Linked DNA regions of Saccharomyces cerevisiae S288C. Changing the gene in region 1 together with any one later gene gives a genetic interaction. Each region holds a gene or a part of one and is shown on either strand. Other genes may lie near its edges.

The links.
Region 2: mutations in CBS1 (region 1) and CLU1 together harm fitness more than expected from each alone (negative genetic interaction), as found in Saccharomyces cerevisiae (one large-scale study listed by BioGRID).
Region 3: mutations in CBS1 (region 1) and SPR2 together harm fitness more than expected from each alone (negative genetic interaction), as found in Saccharomyces cerevisiae (one large-scale study listed by BioGRID).

What each region holds. Positions count from the first base shown.
Region 1 is NC_001136.10:332,621-340,548, forward strand, and holds CBS1 (Cbs1p), read right to left. Parts: upstream 1,191-7,928; coding exon 501-1,190; downstream 1-500. Other genes in the region: BDF2 (Bdf2p), read left to right, coding at 1-320; COX9 (cytochrome c oxidase subunit VIIa), read right to left, coding at 1,597-1,776; isocitrate dehydrogenase (NADP(+)) IDP1, read left to right, coding at 2,215-3,501; PEX19 (Pex19p), read right to left, coding at 3,629-4,657; E2 SUMO-conjugating protein UBC9, read left to right, coding at 4,867-4,904, 5,015-5,450; SYO1 (Syo1p), read right to left, coding at 5,652-7,514. UniProt on the Saccharomyces cerevisiae protein: mRNA-specific translational activator of cytochrome b.
Region 2 is NC_001145.3:289,350-296,910, forward strand, and holds CLU1 (translation initiation factor 3 subunit CLU1), read left to right. Parts: upstream 1-1,784; coding exon 1,785-5,618; downstream 5,619-7,561. Other genes in the region: hexose transporter HXT2, read left to right, coding at 1-355; SEC59 (dolichol kinase), read right to left, coding at 5,830-7,389. UniProt on the Saccharomyces cerevisiae protein: mRNA-binding protein involved in proper cytoplasmic distribution of mitochondria.
Region 3 is NC_001147.6:743,650-747,862, reverse strand, and holds SPR2 (Spr2p), read left to right. Parts: upstream 1-1,559; coding exon 1,560-2,270; downstream 2,271-4,213. Other genes in the region: RUD3 (Rud3p), read left to right, coding at 1-338; AIM41 (Aim41p), read left to right, coding at 581-1,138; SAS5 (Sas5p), read left to right, coding at 2,582-3,328; STE4 (G protein subunit beta), read right to left, coding at 3,682-4,213.

The sequences.
Region 1 (7,928 bases):
ATTTAGAAATGAATGGGATGATTCGTATCATTAAAAATTCATTACCCGCAGATGAAATACTAACTTCCAATGAAGATGAAATTGAAATTGATTTGGATATTTTAGATGAAGCGACTATTGCAAGAATTTATGAGAGATATTTTGAGAAAAAAAATAACAACAATAGCAAAAGAAAACTAAGTGGCAACTACTCGACTGCGCCAACTAACAAGAAAAAGAAAACCTTGAAATTTTTGGAAAAGGATGAAATCATAAATAATAATAATTATTCCGATTCTGAAGAAGACAGTAGTGATAGTAGCGACAGTGACAGTGATTAACAATCGAAATGGGCTTCATGCCCTAATTAAGGAAAAAAAGAAAAGAAAAAAAAAATTGGGAAGAATGGGGATAAAAAAGATTTGTAACATTATAAACAAAAATAAGAAATAATTGTTTTTACGTACTTATTGTAAATAAAACAAAGGGATAACGGACAAAAAGGCATCGTTTCTTTTGTACTATGATTTACGCAAATGGTAATTAATTAGAGGTATGCATATAGTTTTTATAATTGATTCAATGAATTTTTTGTTATCGTTTTTAATTTCGAGTAATTTCAGGTAACCAATAAAGGATAAGATCACTTTCCAATCGTTCAAGTTCTGAAAATCATTAGAGCTGGAAGTTAATCCCATTTCCTTCGGCAAATTGGCAGGTATTCGCAAATGAGCTAATTGGTTAATTTTCAACGAATTCTTGATAAGCCAGCTTATCGAGTCCATGTTCACTACTCGAGCTCGATCTAAGTTATGAATGTAATTGAAGTTTTTGTTCATTATATTAAACTGATTGAAATTCGTAAATGTTATTGTAAGCATCTTATTAATTTCCAAGTGAATGAGCTGTTCACCCAATTTTTGTAAAGTTTCGTTTCTTGTTTCAAATGTATTTCCTGTGCTCAAGTCTCCAGTCATTGGTACTCGTACCAACATATTCCTGCTTGTGGTATATAGCAGTTTAGTTAGTTCTTTAGTCGGTATGCGTTCCTTTCCTTTATATCCGTCAGGATTAACTTCAAGGACTTCACACAGTTTTTCTATCTTACTAATATTCTTTTTCGTCACCGTGTTTATAGTTCTGATGGGAATATACCTGCGAATCCCAGATATTCGAGCAACAGTAGTTGCAAACACTTTTGTCCTCAACATGTCGAGATTCATTATCTGATTTATTCTTTTATCCTGCTATAAAGAAACCATAGAAGAATAGAAGCAAAGGGGTAGTACGTGGCACCTCCTAAAGGTAATATTGTACTATTCCTAGTTCACTCAAGGTCTGCCTGTCTTATTCTCCACATACATTTTCTATAACTCTTTTTTTAAGTTTGTTTTTATTTTAGTTTGACACTACATAAATATGTAAAACTATTTTTTCAAATTATACAAATAGAAAATTATGATAAAGGTCAAAAAGAAAGAAAAGAATGACTTGTCTGTTTTCCTTCCCTACAAACTCTTGCAAAAGTAATCAATCGAGGCCAGCACAGAAAAAAAATAAAAGATAAATAAATAGGAATAAGAATATAATGCGAAAAACAATAGTGGTCAGGTTCGGTCAGTTCTCTTGCTTTTTCCTCTCAGCTAGCTCTGCGTAGAACTTCTCTCTCTTGTTAATCTTATCCATGTGGAATCCCCACCACCAGTAAGAGGCCATGACACCCCCGAGGGAGAACCCGAGGACGATGTCCATGATGACTCTTCTCTTGATCGTACCAGTAATTGGAGCAATAGTCATGTCTGTGTAAGTCGCTTGTAGTTAGTAGTTTGCAAATATCTTGCTTGCTCTAATTCTCGGTCCTAATTTTCCCTGAAGATAAGAGTCTCTTTCATCGATTCTTTTAATACCACAGGAACAAAGCGGGCATCGTGGTAGCGGGCCAATCAGGTTGCAGTAAATGAAGAGATATAGAGGAGGACTCTGCTAAAGACCATAACAAGGGTCTGCAATGATCTTGGACTAAATAAAGGTGTCTTACAATCCAAAAGAGCTTGAATCATTCCTTTTATGAGCTAAATAGCACCGTTTGCACCTTCTGATAACGCTTTACGGGTCACGCGCGGATTTTGACTCACATAATTCCACTTGCCCATATAAAGAGGGACTCATATGATCTTATGAAATCTTCCTTCAAGCAATTGTGAGACAACAGACGCACAAGGAAGATCGCCCAGCATGAGTATGTTATCTAGAAGATTATTTTCCACCTCTCGCCTTGCTGCTTTCAGTAAGATTAAGGTCAAACAACCCGTTGTCGAGTTGGACGGTGATGAAATGACCCGTATCATTTGGGATAAGATCAAGAAGAAATTGATTCTACCCTACTTGGACGTAGATTTGAAGTACTACGACTTATCTGTCGAATCTCGTGACGCCACCTCCGACAAGATTACTCAGGATGCTGCTGAGGCGATCAAGAAGTATGGTGTTGGTATCAAATGTGCCACCATCACTCCTGATGAAGCTCGTGTGAAGGAATTCAACCTGCACAAGATGTGGAAATCTCCTAATGGTACCATCAGAAACATTCTCGGCGGTACAGTGTTCAGAGAGCCCATTGTGATTCCTAGAATTCCTAGACTGGTCCCACGTTGGGAAAAACCAATCATTATTGGAAGACACGCCCACGGTGATCAATATAAAGCTACGGACACACTGATCCCAGGCCCAGGATCTTTGGAACTGGTCTACAAGCCATCCGACCCTACGACTGCTCAACCACAAACTTTGAAAGTGTATGACTACAAGGGCAGTGGTGTGGCCATGGCCATGTACAATACTGACGAATCCATCGAAGGGTTTGCTCATTCGTCTTTCAAGCTGGCCATTGACAAAAAGCTAAATCTTTTCTTGTCAACCAAGAACACTATTTTGAAGAAATATGACGGTCGGTTCAAAGACATTTTCCAAGAAGTTTATGAAGCTCAATATAAATCCAAATTCGAACAACTAGGGATCCACTATGAACACCGTTTAATTGATGATATGGTCGCTCAAATGATAAAATCTAAAGGTGGCTTTATCATGGCGCTAAAGAACTATGACGGTGATGTCCAATCTGACATCGTCGCTCAAGGATTTGGCTCCTTAGGTTTGATGACTTCTATCTTAGTTACACCAGACGGTAAAACTTTCGAAAGTGAAGCTGCTCATGGTACCGTGACAAGACATTATAGAAAGTACCAAAAGGGTGAAGAAACTTCTACAAACTCCATTGCATCCATTTTCGCGTGGTCGAGAGGTCTATTGAAGAGAGGTGAATTGGACAATACTCCTGCTTTGTGTAAATTTGCCAATATTTTGGAATCCGCCACTTTGAACACAGTTCAGCAAGACGGTATCATGACGAAGGACTTGGCTTTGGCTTGCGGTAACAACGAAAGATCTGCTTATGTTACCACAGAAGAATTTTTGGATGCCGTTGAAAAAAGACTACAAAAAGAAATCAAGTCGATCGAGTAATCGAATTTACGTAGCCCAATCTACCACTTTTTTTTTTCATTTTTTAAAGTGTTATACTTAGTTATGCTCTAGGATAATGAACTACTTTTTTTTTTTTTTTTTTACTGTTATCATAAATATATATACCTTATTGTTGTTTGCAACCGTCGGTTAATTCCTTATCAAGGTTCCCCAAGTTCGGATCATTACCATCAATTTCCAACATTTTCATGAGTTCTTCTTCTTCATTACCGTGTTTTAGGGGGCTGTTCGCACTTCTAATAGGGCTATCACCAAGCTGTTCTAATTCGTCCAAAAGTTCAGTAACACGATCTTTATGCTTTAGCTCGTCATAATCTTTCAATTCATAAATATTTACAATTTCGTCTACGATATTAAATTGCCTCTTGTAGGTGCCTATCTTTTCCTTATGCTCTTCATTTTCACCGTTTTCTTGAAACCAAACACCGAACTCACTACGCATTTCTTTCATAGGCTCATATAATACTTCTTTTGACGTCATTTGATCAAGTATTTTTGTTATTGCGTCGTCCATCTCCCCATCTTTTAGATCAAATTGATTTTCTGCACTTTCTTTTCCACCAGATGCTACCATTTGATCTAATAATTGTGACAATATATCATCAATATTATTATTTTGGCCACTGCGTTGAGATTCCTTGGTTTCTTCGGCTAGGGATGTATCAACTTTATTACCATTTTCCTTTAACCTGTCTAGCGTATTGGAAACAATGTTTTTAAATCCCGGATTGCTACCATTCACGGTCCCTTTATCAGTGCTGTTACTTTTCAAACTACTACATCCTTGCTCCATCTGTTGATGAGGTACTTTAGCTGCCTCTTCTAGAGCACTAATCAGTTTATTAAAATCTTCTGTCTTCACATTATTCTCGTTACCGTTATTTTTCATCAAATTTGCGAACTCATTTTGCAAATCTACCATCATTTCTTTCAATTCTGGGTCCTCTTCAGATTCATTAGCTACCTGTACGCCATCACTGTCCTTACTTTCGGCATTCTTCTCTTTGTTTTCACTATCGTTGTACACAGAACCCTTCGCTTGCACATCATCGGGCTCTGCTTCATCCAGTTTAGTGGGATCTTCATCTAAAAGGTCATCCAAATCATCAAAATTATCGTACTCGTTTTCATTCATTACTTCGTGTTGTATGTTTGGCATTTCTTCTTTCCGTCAATACTTCGGTTCCCACAATTTGTAATTCTTTCTTCACTTTATATCTCTCAGAAACCGCGTTTAACATCTGGAAATTAAAAATTATTCCTGTCTCCATAACAAACATTTAAAAAAAGAAGAGAAATTTAGCATAGGATAAGCACACACTGGCACCATTTTTTGGAAGCAATATGAGTAGTTTGTGTCTACAGCGTCTTCAGGAAGAAAGGTAAGTAGTAGTTTTCCTCCTTTTATGCTTACATTCTGTAGGCATACACAATTTCATCCAGCGGTATACTAACAAATCGATGAACTTAACTTGTTTTACTTGAATAACAGAAAAAAATGGAGAAAGGATCATCCATTTGGATTTTATGCCAAACCAGTTAAGAAAGCTGATGGGTCCATGGATTTACAGAAATGGGAAGCTGGTATCCCAGGCAAAGAAGGTACAAACTGGGCGGGTGGTGTGTACCCAATTACAGTCGAATATCCAAATGAATATCCTTCAAAACCTCCAAAGGTTAAATTTCCAGCCGGATTTTATCATCCAAACGTGTATCCAAGTGGCACAATATGTTTAAGTATTTTAAATGAAGATCAAGATTGGAGACCCGCCATCACGTTAAAACAAATTGTTCTTGGGGTTCAGGATCTTTTAGACTCTCCAAATCCAAATTCCCCTGCTCAAGAGCCTGCATGGAGATCATTTTCAAGAAATAAGGCGGAATATGACAAGAAAGTTTTGCTTCAAGCTAAACAGTACTCTAAATAGAGGGAATCCATCTTTCCCATTCTTCCTCCTTTTGTACTTTATTTAACTAATGTCGTTGTGTAACAAAAATAGAGCAAAATAACATTATTTACAAATTCTCAAAAATAATTTTTTGCTCTTTGTTTCTTATGCTAAGTAAATAGAAAGATATTTTTTGTACCATTTTCTATAAGTATGGCAACTATATACACTTTAATAAATCTATTGGTTAGTAGAATTTTCATTCATTTTGTAGTGAATGAAACTATCCAACGTAGTAAAGCAATCATGGCATCTTTCTTTTAGTTCGGGATTTTTGTTTTTATCAACCATTTTGAATTGCTGCCTCAAATTTGGTACAACTTGGTCTTTTAGAATAGATAAAAATCCACCCCTTACAAATATTGGTTCATTATAGTCGTAAGAGGCATCCCCGTAAATTTGGAAAAGCGAATTTGTCATTTCTATCAAAATTTCAGGGCGAACATTCAACTGTGTTAAAGTTTGTATGAAGAACTGCCCAATCTCCTTATTTGCATCAATTTGTCCCTGAATCATAGCATATGTGCTTAGTACATTAATACATTTTTGTTGTAACTCAAGGTCATTATTATTTTGGAACTCTTCAATAATTCCCCTAGCGAATCCTGAATTGTTCAGCATTTGGACATTGATCAATGCTCGATTCTCACTTTCAAACGCTCCATCAGGAAAGATGAGTTTCAGAAGCGCCCAAATACAGCCCATTCTTCCTATTTTAATACTCAAATCATCTTGGCTGTCCAACTGTGTAACATAACTCCATAAGGTGGTTAACAACTCTCCAGAGAGCTCTGTTAGAGATAGAGACACAAAGAGCCAGATCAGATTGTTCCATCCGATCAATATTCGCGAGGTGAAGGTATCTTTCAAAATCATGAAAACGTGAGGTAAGAAATTTGTTAAGGTATTGATTAGCTCCTCTGGAATTGCTACTTCCTGTGATTCTGGTGATTCATATTTGGATGCAACTATCTCAATGATTGCGGTGATAAGATCAATTGCTATTTCAATGCTTTGCAATTTTATCATGGATTCGTTACGTTTCGCATTGTAATCCTTGATCTTAGTTATAACCTTACTGCTTTCATCTTTACTAGTAGCAGGTCCAATTTCTACAGGGTTATTAATGTCATTAACTAACTGTACTGGATCAATGTTATTAATGGAATGACATACAGAGTGGATCATTTTGTTACATTGATCATAAGTTATTTTCATGTCAAGGAATTGGCAATGGATACCTTCAATTAGAACTTTTGTTAATTCATTAGCTTGTGGATGTAAAGCCGGAGATAGCCCATTTAAGAACTGTGATAGAAGTTCATTGTTGGAAACATGATCAATAAATTCAAATGATTCGGAACTCAAATCATAAATGAGATCAAGAGTGGTATTGAACAGATTAATTGGCAGTTTCTCGACACCATATTTTAATAGCTGTGAAATGACCTGAAAAATTTCATTTATTTTACTTTCCGTTAATATCTCATTAAGAATATCGTCGGATCCATTAGACAGAGCCACCACTAACGACAGTAAGTTATCGGCAAAATCGAATAACAACCTTTTAGATTCTATTTTGGATTTTCCTGCAGGTTTTAGCTGCGGTTGCTGTTCTGCTGCTTGCAAAGCGGATAACGATTCAACAATCCTGCCAAAATTACTTGTTATACTTGTCCATATATCAGATCTCCAAAGGTAGATTGACACATCATAACCTTCTTCCAAAGACAAGTTCCTTAATAAGCCGAACGACTCCACAACTATGTCCGAATTAGAATCGTTCAGCAATTTATTCAAAATGATAGGAACTAATTTCTCTTTCAGTAAAAGTTGTCTCATATGTGCATCCTCACAAAGAACACTGATGGAACTCAAAGCAATACTTCTATCATTAGGCACCACACTTGACAAATTCTGCAATAGCGGCTGGAGTTTTTTATTAACGACGTTGGTATCTTTATTATTGTCATTTGACCCAGCTTTGCGTAGTGGATTTAATCGAGACGAAGATGCTCTTGATCTTTTCTTTGATCTGCCCATTCTTTTCTGCCCTAAAAAGTCGATTTCTGCGTCCTTGTACAAACTCGAAAATCTGATCGAAAGTACTTGGAATCCAGTAAGAATAATGGGGGCGTTGCTACGAAGATTTAATTTTACAATACATAGACCTTTAAACAATGGTAGATAAATGGATGAGATGAGATGAGATGAGATGAGATGAGATGAAAAATTTTCTGAATAAGAGAACTACTCGTTCTAAATGATTATTGTACATTTTGCATAGAAAAATGGCAATAAACAGGGCAGTACTATTTCATCATCATCACTAAACATTAGTTGGCAAACTTATTAAGCCAACAGTACTTGTGACTAGAATTTTTTATTATATCGCCAATATTTAATGATAAACATAATATAGTAATACCAAAAATAATTATGATAACTTATACAAAA
Region 2 (7,561 bases), on another chromosome or scaffold:
CTGTTTATTCATTTTCTTCTTCGCTATTAGTTGGGCCCCAATTGCCTACGTTATTGTTGCCGAATCCTATCCTTTGCGTGTCAAAAATCGTGCTATGGCTATTGCTGTTGGTGCCAACTGGATTTGGGGTTTCTTGATTGGTTTCTTCACTCCCTTCATTACAAGTGCAATTGGATTTTCATACGGGTATGTCTTCATGGGCTGTTTGGTATTTTCATTCTTCTACGTGTTTTTCTTTGTCTGTGAAACCAAGGGCTTAACATTAGAGGAAGTTAATGAAATGTATGTTGAAGGTGTCAAACCATGGAAATCTGGTAGCTGGATCTCAAAAGAAAAAAGAGTTTCCGAGGAATAAGAGATTATACTTAAACTAGCACTGATTTTTTTAAGGCTAATGGCTACTAATACTTTAATAGATGATCTTCATACTTTTTTATTTAACGATTTTTAATGATGTTTTTATTTGTACCACTCATTTATCTAGATTTTTTTAATACTGATCAAATCTTACGGACTCGACGTTAAAAAGTTCCTACATACGTCTGGTACTTGAAACGCTGCTTCGAGGTATTGACACTATAAGAATACGATCCAAATACTTACACCGCATGTAAAAATATGCCGACAATATGAATACTTGTTGATGAATGATATTTGATTTTAATCCGGCAATTTACCTCCTTTATATAATCCAATAATTGTTGATAATTAGTGGTTAGGTTGCAGTACTAATAAGAATTAAGACAAATATTCTTCTACTATATAAAAGGTGCAAACAAAACACACGCCGATCGGCCATACTAAACAAGACCAACATAATAATGGTGGAACCATTTACTGTATTTTCAATGTAACGACTCATATCCTTATACATGAGACGTCAAGTTTCTCGTTGAAGTAATAATGAATCTTTAACTTTACTGTGCCACATATCACGTAATCATATATTGTTTTTCGCCTTCAAGCATCAATGGCGTATTGTGGCTGATTACTTCATATGATCACTAATTAACTAATTATGAAAAATAATAAATAAGTCACCAACCAAGCAAGGAAATTAGCTTCAAGTAAACAGTTGGTTCTTTCTGGCGAGTTAGAACAAAATTAAACAATAATCTATCGACTAGCATTCATATCACCAATATATCGTCATATACAGCGAAATGATTGCATTTACTGGATTGAATGGATACACTTTGAAGATGAACCTTTATCATAGTTGAAATGGGATAGCTGAGAAACTTGTGCATGATTTGATGATTGTTTGGGTTCAACCGTTGGGGATAAGGACTATAATATTAGGTACACAGAAATTCCAAATATATAAGTAGCAGTGCTTTATGAAACTATAATGTCAGAGTAGTTATGTAAAAATAGAACAATTGATATGATCGTTTCTTTAATAACTCGATAAGGAGTTCTCTACGAAAAATATCAACAGTGAAATATAATCCGATATAGTGTAACGGCTATCACATCACGCTTTCACCGTGGAGACCGGGGTTCGACTCCCCGTAGCGGAGTTTTCTTTTTGAAGAAATTTGAAAATTTTTTTCTTCACGTCGACCAAGGTTTTTTCCGGTCAAACATGGCCAATAAAACGGATACCATTTCTTGGAAATTATACGCTTCGAAGTATTCTCAAAAAAGGAAATTGTCTGCAGTGAAGATTGGATATAAGGTTCACTAAACACAGAGTAGTAATTGAGCTGTAATTTGTTTACAGAACGAATCAAATCAGCGTAGTGTTACAGTTTATCTGAGACTGCATATCTTTAATCTCTATGAGCGAGAAAAAAGAAGAAGTTAAAAACGCCACCGTTAAGGTGACTGTCAAACTTCCAAAAGAAGATAACCATTCGCATAATACGAAACATCTCAAAAAGACCCAAAGTTCAAAAAATAATGATATATCTTTTGAAATCGGCAAGGAATCCAAAATTCAAACTGTTCTAGATGTGTTGGCTATGATTCCAAGTTCCAAGTACCTGACAAACGTTGGGCTGAAAACAATTGAAGGTGACTCCCAGCTATCTGATGAAATGTCTATAAAGGAAATTGTTGGTGAGAAAAGCGAGTTAAAACTTCAATTGATACTGAAGCCATATAGCGCAAGAGAGGCTTTGAAACATGTGATTACTGTTCGCGATTTCATCGGATTTGCCCAAGAAACCTCAGATGGATTATCTGAATTTGCTATTTCTACTGGTTCAAGCTTTTCCTCGTTACCGTTGGGTCCTATCAAGGAACGCTCAAAACAAGAAGAAAAAGACGAGAAGAGCGATCCAGAAGAAAAGAAAAATACTTTCAAAGATGTGACTGACGAGGAAAAACTAAAATTTAACGAGATGGTTCACGAAGTGTTTTCTAGCTTTAAGAATTCTTCAATTAACAAACTTCTCACCTCTGAATCCAACATCATCACGCCGTGCGTCAGGTCTTTGAGTTTCGCACCTTACAATCCTGTACCTCCATTTTATAGAAGTAAAGGTCATCTATTTTACCTACAAATTGTCACTTTGGAAGGTGAGAGTTTCTATATCACTGCAATTCCATCTGGATTCTATGTCAATAAATCAAACTCAACTAAGTTCGATCCTTCTCCAAAAGAAAACACTGACGAGAACGCGCACTCATCCCTGATCTATTACAGTCTATTTGACTTGATTGCTTCTCGCTCTAAAAAATTCATTTCTCATGTCCAAGCATTCGAGAAAAAACTATCTGCTTTAGATTCTACAAGCTATGTAAGACCAAGCAATACTTTCTTGCATAAACCATGGTTTGTTTCTTCATTGCCACCAAATAACCCAGATTATCTGAGGTTACAAACTGCCGCCTTGGATACCACGCCAGAAAGAAACTTTAATGATGAATTTCAAGCCATTAAAGATTTGACTACGTCAACATTACAAGATCGTATTGAAATGGAAAGGTTGTTTTCTAAAGTTGTACATGAATTTTCTGTTACTGCAGCATCAGGCGCTATGTCAATTTTTTACAGTGATTTCGTTGCAATGAACCCAGAATCTCCAACTCGGGATCAAATTTTCTTAAAAGACAATATCTTTTATTCCTATGTTTCCGACGTTAGTGGCAATTATGAAGGGAAAGGTGGGGATGAAGCTGCAATCGCTGCTTCCAACCAAGACTTGAAGACAATCAATATTTTGAATCGCTTGCATATGCACGAAGTTCGTTATCTTTTAACAACTGTAGTCGAATTTGCAGGCAGAAGAATTTTGGCTCAAACTCCAGTACCTGGACTCTTAGCTACCATGGGTAACAAAATTGTAAAAGATGCTAATACCGGCGAAGAGGTTACCGAAGATTTTGTCAATGATATTAATGTAAAGTACGGCCTTGATGAAGGTTTGGGAAAGATTGTTTATGATGCTGACTTTGATTCTGTTTTAGAAAAAAAGTTTGTCAAGGCATTCCATTTGAAAAAGCACAAAGTCAACGGTACTGAATTAGCATTTTCATCGCAATCCAAGGGAATAGTTGGATTCGATAAGAGGCGCTATATTTTGGATTTAGCCAACACGTATCCCTTGGACATCAACTTTGCTAGACAAAACTTTGACAACATCGAAGAGACTGGAAACCGTTACCCACACAGGCAAACTTTGTTACGTCCGGAGTTAGTAGAAAAGTGGTGGAATAATAAAGTTGAGAAGGAAGGTGTTGAATTTGAAAAGGCCTATGAAGAAAATTTGTTTAGTTATAACCCTGATGCTTACCAGGTCGAAGGTATTGAGGACGCTAATGTTGACGAAATGTCGAACTACTTACAAAAAGAAGTTATTCCCAGCGTTATTCAAGATTATTTATCTGGAAATTTGAGCACTCCTTATAATGGTGAACATTTAGCCGATACTTTACATAAGAATGGTATCAACATGCGTTACTTGGGTAAAATTATCGAGCTTTCTCAAAAGGAATTGGACTCCCAAATTGTCCACTACGAACAAAATTTGAAAGCTGTTGAACAAGACAACAAAGAATATGAGGATTGGGAAAAATCTTATCTGCAAAAAATTGAGAACATGATTAAAGAGAGACAAGCCAAGATTAATAAGCTGGTACAAGAAGGCAAAGAGGTTCCAAAAGAACTAACTGAAGATTTGAAATTAAACGATGAAGAAATCAAAAAGCCCACCGATGGAAAACCTGTGGTCGTTGCCTATGATGAGCTAGTGCCATTAATTAAAATTTCCGAATTAGAAATTGTTTCGCGTTCTTTGAAACATGTTTTAAAAGATTTGAGTAAAGATGTTCCGGTCTTCTTGGTTCCATCACTGGTAGCATACGTTTTCAATATGTTAGTTGGTATCAACTACAATGCTGATCCGAAGCCAGAACCAGTCGACGAATTTTATCCAGTCAATAAGTGCTCATTTGCTAAATTAACACGCTCCGAATTGCTGGAAGCTGTCTCTAAACAAGCCTTCTTGCGTTTCCGTCATCAATTACCATCCAATTGGATCGAAGCTTACATGGAAAATCCTTTCACCCTCATTAGAAGTGTTTCTTACAAATTTGGTATTCAATTGCTCAATAAAGAATACTTCTTTACTAGAGAACAATTGGAAAGTTATAAGCAAAGTCTTGACAAGAAAATTAGGAACAAGTTTGTCGAACCACCAACTACCTTCAGTTTAAGCGATTTGACCATTATTCCACGTGTTAAGTTCTCAGAATATACTTCTTCAGTTAGTGAGGAATTTTGGGCTCAAGGTGCTTCTATGATCAACGAAGACAAACAAAGTGCTTTGACTTTACTCGCTCAATCAATTACAGTCTTAGAAGATGTTAACAATATTTTACATCCCGCCGTTGCTGAAAAGTACTTGTCATTATCTGCCATTTATAATAAGTTAGCATTATACCCTGAAGCTATCGCGTTCTGTCGTAAAGCATGTACTATTTATGAAAGAGTTAGCGGTATTGATTCTTTTGAAATGATGAGGGCTTTAACTAATTTAGCAATTCTAGAATTCTCTAATGAAAGTCCTTATAACGCTACTGTGGTTTATAATAGGCTCGCAGAAATCCTAAAAGTTTATGAGTTACCAAAAATCCATCACCCAGCCCCCACAAGCATTTTCAACCATTTGGAACAATTAGCCCTAGGTGTTCAAGATACCAAATTGGCTATTGAAGTCTTGGGACAACTAAGCTCCTATGTTGTGGAATTAGAAGGCAAAGATTCATTAGCATATGGCTATACCGAGTCACGTTTAGGTAATTTGTTTGCAGCATTGAAGGATTTCCACCGTGCATTAGAGCACATCACTGTAACCCAAGGGATTTTCACCAAGCAATTGGGTATGAATCACACGCACTCAGCCCAATCAAGACAGTGGGTTAATGGTTTAAGCTCATTAATAATGGATTTAAAACAAAAGAAGCAACTTGCACAAGATCAAATGTCGACAACGGGATCAAATTCAGCTGGCCATAAAAAAACCAATCACCGTCAAAAGAAGGATGACGTTAAACCTGAATTGGCTAACAAAAGTGTGGATGAGTTGTTAACATTTATAGAAGGCGATTCTTCCAACTCTAAGAGCAAAAACAAAACCAACAATAAAAAGAAGCATGGTAAGAAATAGAGAGCTAACTTAACAATCTCGTTTATTTATTATTTTTCTTTATATCTATAGCCCATACTTGTATATACTACGTGTAAGTACTAGATATAAAACGAAAAAAAAATACTTACAATTATTTTTTTTTCTTTACTGCTCTATTCTTTTCTTTATTCTATTCATAAATGCAAACAATTAGTTATGTAATTTTAAAAGTTGAAAATAATTGACTTTGTCAAAGAGTAATTAATTTTTCACAAATCATCATAAATGCAGGTATCAAAATATTGTCATTAAGCACACTATTACCTTCTAGCACTCCACTCAGTGTACAAAGGGTAAGCAATTGTAAAGTAGTTAGGTGGTTAAAAATTGCAGCTTTATCAAAACGTAACAATACCAAACAAACGATAAAACTCGTTACTATAAACGCAAGAGTTCCCTCTAAAGTTTTTTGTGTACCTTTCCAACGAATGCGGCCATACCTTTTACCAATAATAGATGCTAAGGAATCACCAATTCCCAATCCTATTAGACCCATTGGAGAGTTATTCATTAATAAAGGTGTTGATATTCCGAAGAGTAAATAAAGGTATGATATGATCAATGGCCCGCTGTGGTCCCTATCATCAGCAAACCTTCTTAGTTGTAATTCAATAGCAGATCCTAACGGCGGTAGGTTTTGAAATCTTATGTACTCAATTGATAAGAAGACTGGTATTGTTCCGGACAATGCAATTTTCACAAAGTTTGAATCCATTTGGAATGACGGTATTATGAGTAAGAAAATGATGAAATGCCACAATTTTCGGGAGGTGTTCAACGATAGACTGTCCTTCTCGATCAATATACTTGGTATGGACAGTATAAGAATTGAAGACCAAGCAAACAAAATCTTTTGACGAATAGTAGACTCTAAGATATATTTTACCAGCCAAAGTAGCGGATTTTCACCGTCTTCTAAATGAATGAAGGTATTGGCAAAAAGTGGAAGCCCGATGGCAAAGGATATTGACAGCATAAACGGTTTAAAGTGCATTACCTTTTTGAGCACATAGTTAATTGAAATTATTGTTGTGAGAGCAAGGATAATGCCCTTCAAAATTCTAAAATGTACTGTGCCAGCCTCTGAAACGTACAGAATATTGGTTAATAGGATACTAAAAAGATTAGAGTCGATATTATCTAAACTTTTCAATTGCCCAATATACTTCAAAATTAACGACAGTAAAGAATTTATTACTATGCTAATAATATTCTTTAACCTGTCACCAGCCTCAAAATTAAAAAATATGAGGCAGAGCTGTAAAATGATCACTACCAACTGAGTTCGCCATCTATATGAATTTAATACCGAAAGGATCAAAATAGTATTTATCACCGTAGATGATGTATCGAACAACAACGAAACCATAAACGGTAAATATAAACTGTAAATGGTATCGAACTTGGGTAGGCTTTTGTAACCATGTTGCCAATATTTTGTGAATATCAGACCAACCATTATCAAACACACCACAAAGACATTTACAAAGATTTGTTTATAAGATATATCAGCGGTAACAATGGACCACGGCTGAAGCCTTTCAACACAGTAAAAAAAAGTGCCCAACAATATAACAGTTTGAACAAAATTCGAATAAAAGCACTCAAAATCTCGAGAATTCCCGCCCACATCAAATTTACGAGTCCTCATATTGATTTTGCAGATCTCCTCAGTTGGCATTTGGCTTCCCTCAGTTTTCTGGGTTAGTTTAATTGTGGTAAAGGAAGCATGAGGTATTATAGCGACCATATAGGCAATGAACAGAATAACGACAGTTTATTGCCTCGAAAGGAGTCTGATTTACTAGCTAAATTCTAATATTTGGCTTACTACAAACTCTATCTTTCATAGAATACGTCCTTCGATACCATTTTCACCATCTTGACTAACAACGTGTACAACTCTTTTGAAAATTACGTGC
Region 3 (4,213 bases), on another chromosome or scaffold:
TCTTACAGATCGGAAAACTACGTCACGAAGCCATTATACTAAATGAGCATTTAACAAAGGCACTGGCCATGTTGAAGAAATCAAGCGATTCTGAATCCGTTGATAAAGAACTGATATCCAATCTATTGATATCTTTCGTGTCCATACCCAGAGCAGACCCAAGAAAGTTTGAAGTTCTTGAATTACTGTCCAATTTCTTAAACTGGGATGAAGATAAGAAACAACAGGCCGGCTTGATCTCGAATAATGAGTCTAAGAATTCAAGCGCTGTATCGAGAACGGAAAGCTTTGTATCGCTTTGGACCAACTACCTCGAGAAAGAGAGTGAGAAAGACTAATCGGGCAAACTAAGTCTAGTTCAGAAGAGCATACGTACTTAGTGTAGCATCACCCAATTTATACTCTATAAACGATAAATGATATAAATCACATCTACCCGGCATCTGGGACTTTTCGGGGGGAAGGACTCAAAATTAAAGGGAAGAAAAAGGATCTGCAACATTTTTTACAGAAGTAATGAACTGGAGAAAAAAGACTTTGGGATAAAGTTGGGGAATACAGCAAATAACACTATTCCAAGATGTTCAGACAATCAATTAGGCCACTTGTTTCAAATAGACTAACCTTCATTCGTTATAACAGTTCTCCAGCCTACACGGCTGCAGTCAGCCTATTGAAAGGAGATTTGAAAAAGGCTATGATTGCCAAGGATGAGATGAAGAAGACAGCAATCAGAAATATGTTATCTGCCATAAAAAACAAAGAAATTGCTTTAAAAGGGAAGAGCGCTGATGAGTACTCCCTGTACGACATGTACTCCAAGTTAATATCTCAAAGAAAGGACTCGATCAATGAGTTCCTTGCTAACAAGAGGGACGATCTGGTGGCCAAAGAGCAAGGTGAAATGGACATTATAAAGAAATATATGGACCAATTGCCAGTGTCTTCAGAGCTTGATATTGATCAAAATGTGAAGAAATTACTGGACGCCCTCAAAACAAAGGCAGGTGAAAAAAAAGTTCAAATTAAGGAAATCATGGGAGAAATCGACTGGAAGTCATTGCCAACAGAATGGAAGACATCTCCAACTGCCATCAAAAATAGCATTGTTAAGCAATTCAAGGAAATTTTCAAATGAGGTCCTTGTTTTCTGCGCGATGAATCACAGCCCAACCTTCAATAGTAAAAAAGAAGTAAAAATATTCGTCAAAAATTATGAAAGATACTTTGTTAATACATATCACAGTTACATATTAAAATAAAAAATTAATGCTCGCTTCCTTTCACCTTTTTTTTTTTTTTTGTGGCTACGTTTTTGTGTCCCATGGCAACCATGATATGTCTTGCTAACTGTCATTTGCCCTTTGTTTATAAAAGAGGCCGCTTTTGTATAATGTATAAATTATTCTTTTCCTGAAAGTATTTGTAGTTATCCAAGACAAAAAACCAGCAGCTAACATTGCTACACATAACTAAAGAACAACACCAAGCCAGTAACTAGCACGAAAGGAAGGAAAGTAAAGTTTTGTATCCCATTCTCTTTTTTGATCCTTATTGAAATGTTAGGATTATATCTATCCTCCCTTTTCTTCGCCTTTTTTATGGCACAAGTGTTTGCTACCAAATACTCAATTACTTTTACATCAGATGAGTATGAAGAAGATGAAACAGGACAAAATGAACCTGGTCCTTTAGTTTTCCATTTGGATAAAAACTCATTACCACCAGCTCTGCTAAATCAAATGGAGTTTAATCCATACTTAGTATTAGCAGATTTACCGGAGGAGCCGCGAGCTGTTGATTCTCAAGAACATACCGATACGGTCCTTGCTTCCAAATCTGTTATAGATTTTCTGTTGGAAGATCCTCTAACAATAGTGGAGCACAAAAAGTTTTCTCAAATTGAAAGTATTCTACATGAAATTATGGAAGACAGCATACAGAAGAAAGTCGGGGCAGACGAGGTATTTGAAGAGATTCCGAAACCGAAAATTTACGCGTATGAAGATATTTTAGTAACTAATATGAGCATCATCAATAATAGTGAAATGCCGACAAGTACTGCAACATTAACGAGCACCATTTCTTATTTATCTAGTACGACAAGTTTAGCTTTATCCACGGGTGTTACCAGCGTTGAGATTTTCCCAACAATCACCCCGGGAAATATTACAACTATTGGGGGATACGAAAATTCATCATCCTCCTTAATGCCGTCGATGGGAATCTTATCTTTTCTATTTGGTCTGTACTTGTTACTTCACCCTTAAAGTTCGGCAGTCATATAATCAAAGTTTTGATAGAGAAAGCATTTATATAACATATAAGCAAATGACCAATTAATGGTATTATTTAGTGACGTTTACAGCTGGCGCGGTCGCGTTACACGGGCAAGAAAAAATCAAAGCCACATCAATAAGTCATCACCATTAGAGAGTTGCACGACAACAAACTAGAACAGCCATGTTCGGGTGAAGAGGAAGTGCAGCAACTCAAGTTTTTCTACAGACTAAATTGTTTTTACTCTTGACTCCAAAAGCCCTTTTTTTTTTTTTTGGTGCCATATAATAGACGCTCTTTTATGGATCATTCAATAGAAGTCACTTTCAGAGTAAAAACACAACAGGTTATAATACCGGAACAAAACATCCGGGGAAATGAACTTCCCTTACGTCGGTGGCAGATGGAACTCCTCATGTTAGATGCAACAGGAAAGGAAGTGGAGCCTACCATCCTCTCTAAATGCATCTACCATTTGCACTCTAGCTTCAAACAGCCCAAAAGACGACTGAACTCGCTGCCATTTTTTATCAAGGAAACCGGTTGGGGAGAGTTTAACTTAAAAATAGAATGCTTTTTTATAGGTAACGCTGGAAAGTTTAGCATTGAACATGACTTAACGTTTGAAGATGATGCATATGCAGTTGACTATACCGTTGATGTGCCTCATGAATTCTCACATCTCAATAGTGAACTATCTAAATATTTTGATCTCCCGTGGAAAGTAGTGTCTCCGGAGGAAGAAATGTCTCTTCGTATAGCCGATTTGCCCTGGATTAAAAGCCTTGCGCTTATAGATGAGGATATGATGACGGACGTGGTTCAGATGATATTGAATGATCCTGCAGTACAGAGAGCAATTGAAAATCATCCCAGAAGGGAGCAGTTTTTTATGTTTATAACACAACTACCAGATGATTTGTTAATGAAAATTCAGGCATTTTTGAAATTACCGAACAAAAATTCCACTAAACAAGAAAGGACAAATTTTGGGTCAGACGCAATACATAAGGACGAGCCAGTGAAGGCTCATAACAAGCTAAAGTAGGGACAGCCATCATGAAATTAAACAATGCCTGAAAACATAGATGATTCTAGCAAGTTGGTCAAATAAGTCAGTGAATAATACTGTTTCCAAAACGATTGAAAAGAATTTTTGAGTGCATGACACTTTTGTTCGTTTTTGTTTCGTTTATCCAAAGAGAAAAAGGAAGCAAATGACAATGCTTTGAATTTTCATTGTTGAATGTTTTGACTTACTTTATTAAAGGACGTTTTTGCGCTTCCACAGAACTAATGTTACTGTTGTTATTCTATGTAAATATGGGATGGGTGTAGGTATGTATATTTATATAATAGCATCCATTGATAATTACTGCTCACAGTATTTCCAATTCGAAGCTATTGATAACCTGGAGACCATATTTTCATGGTTGAGTCCCATGAACCTGTACATACAGCTAACCCATCTGGACTCGAGCGCACACCAGTGACTCTGCCACCATGACCTTCTAATTTTCCAACAATCTCTCCTTTTAATACATCCCACACAACACAACCAATGTCTGTATAGCATGAGTACATCAATCTTCCAGATGCACTAAAATCTAAAGAAACAACGCCTTGGTTGTCTAGATAGCTTGAGCTTGTTGATTTTAAAGTTTGTGGCGATTGCGCGGTATTGTACTCCATGTTAGCTGCCATATAAGTAGGGGTAGGGGTACGTTCTTCATAACCTCGAAAAAGAGAAAAAGTAGCAATAGAACAGTCCGACCTTAAATCATACATATTTATCGCACCATTGTCACTTCCTGCAACAATCGACATCCCGTCTTTGAAAAAACGAAGTGCATTAATATCACTATCGTTAACGTAAAAGCTTTGTACAGCGGACGGAGATCTGCTATCCCATATGTAAGTATACCCGTCTGAT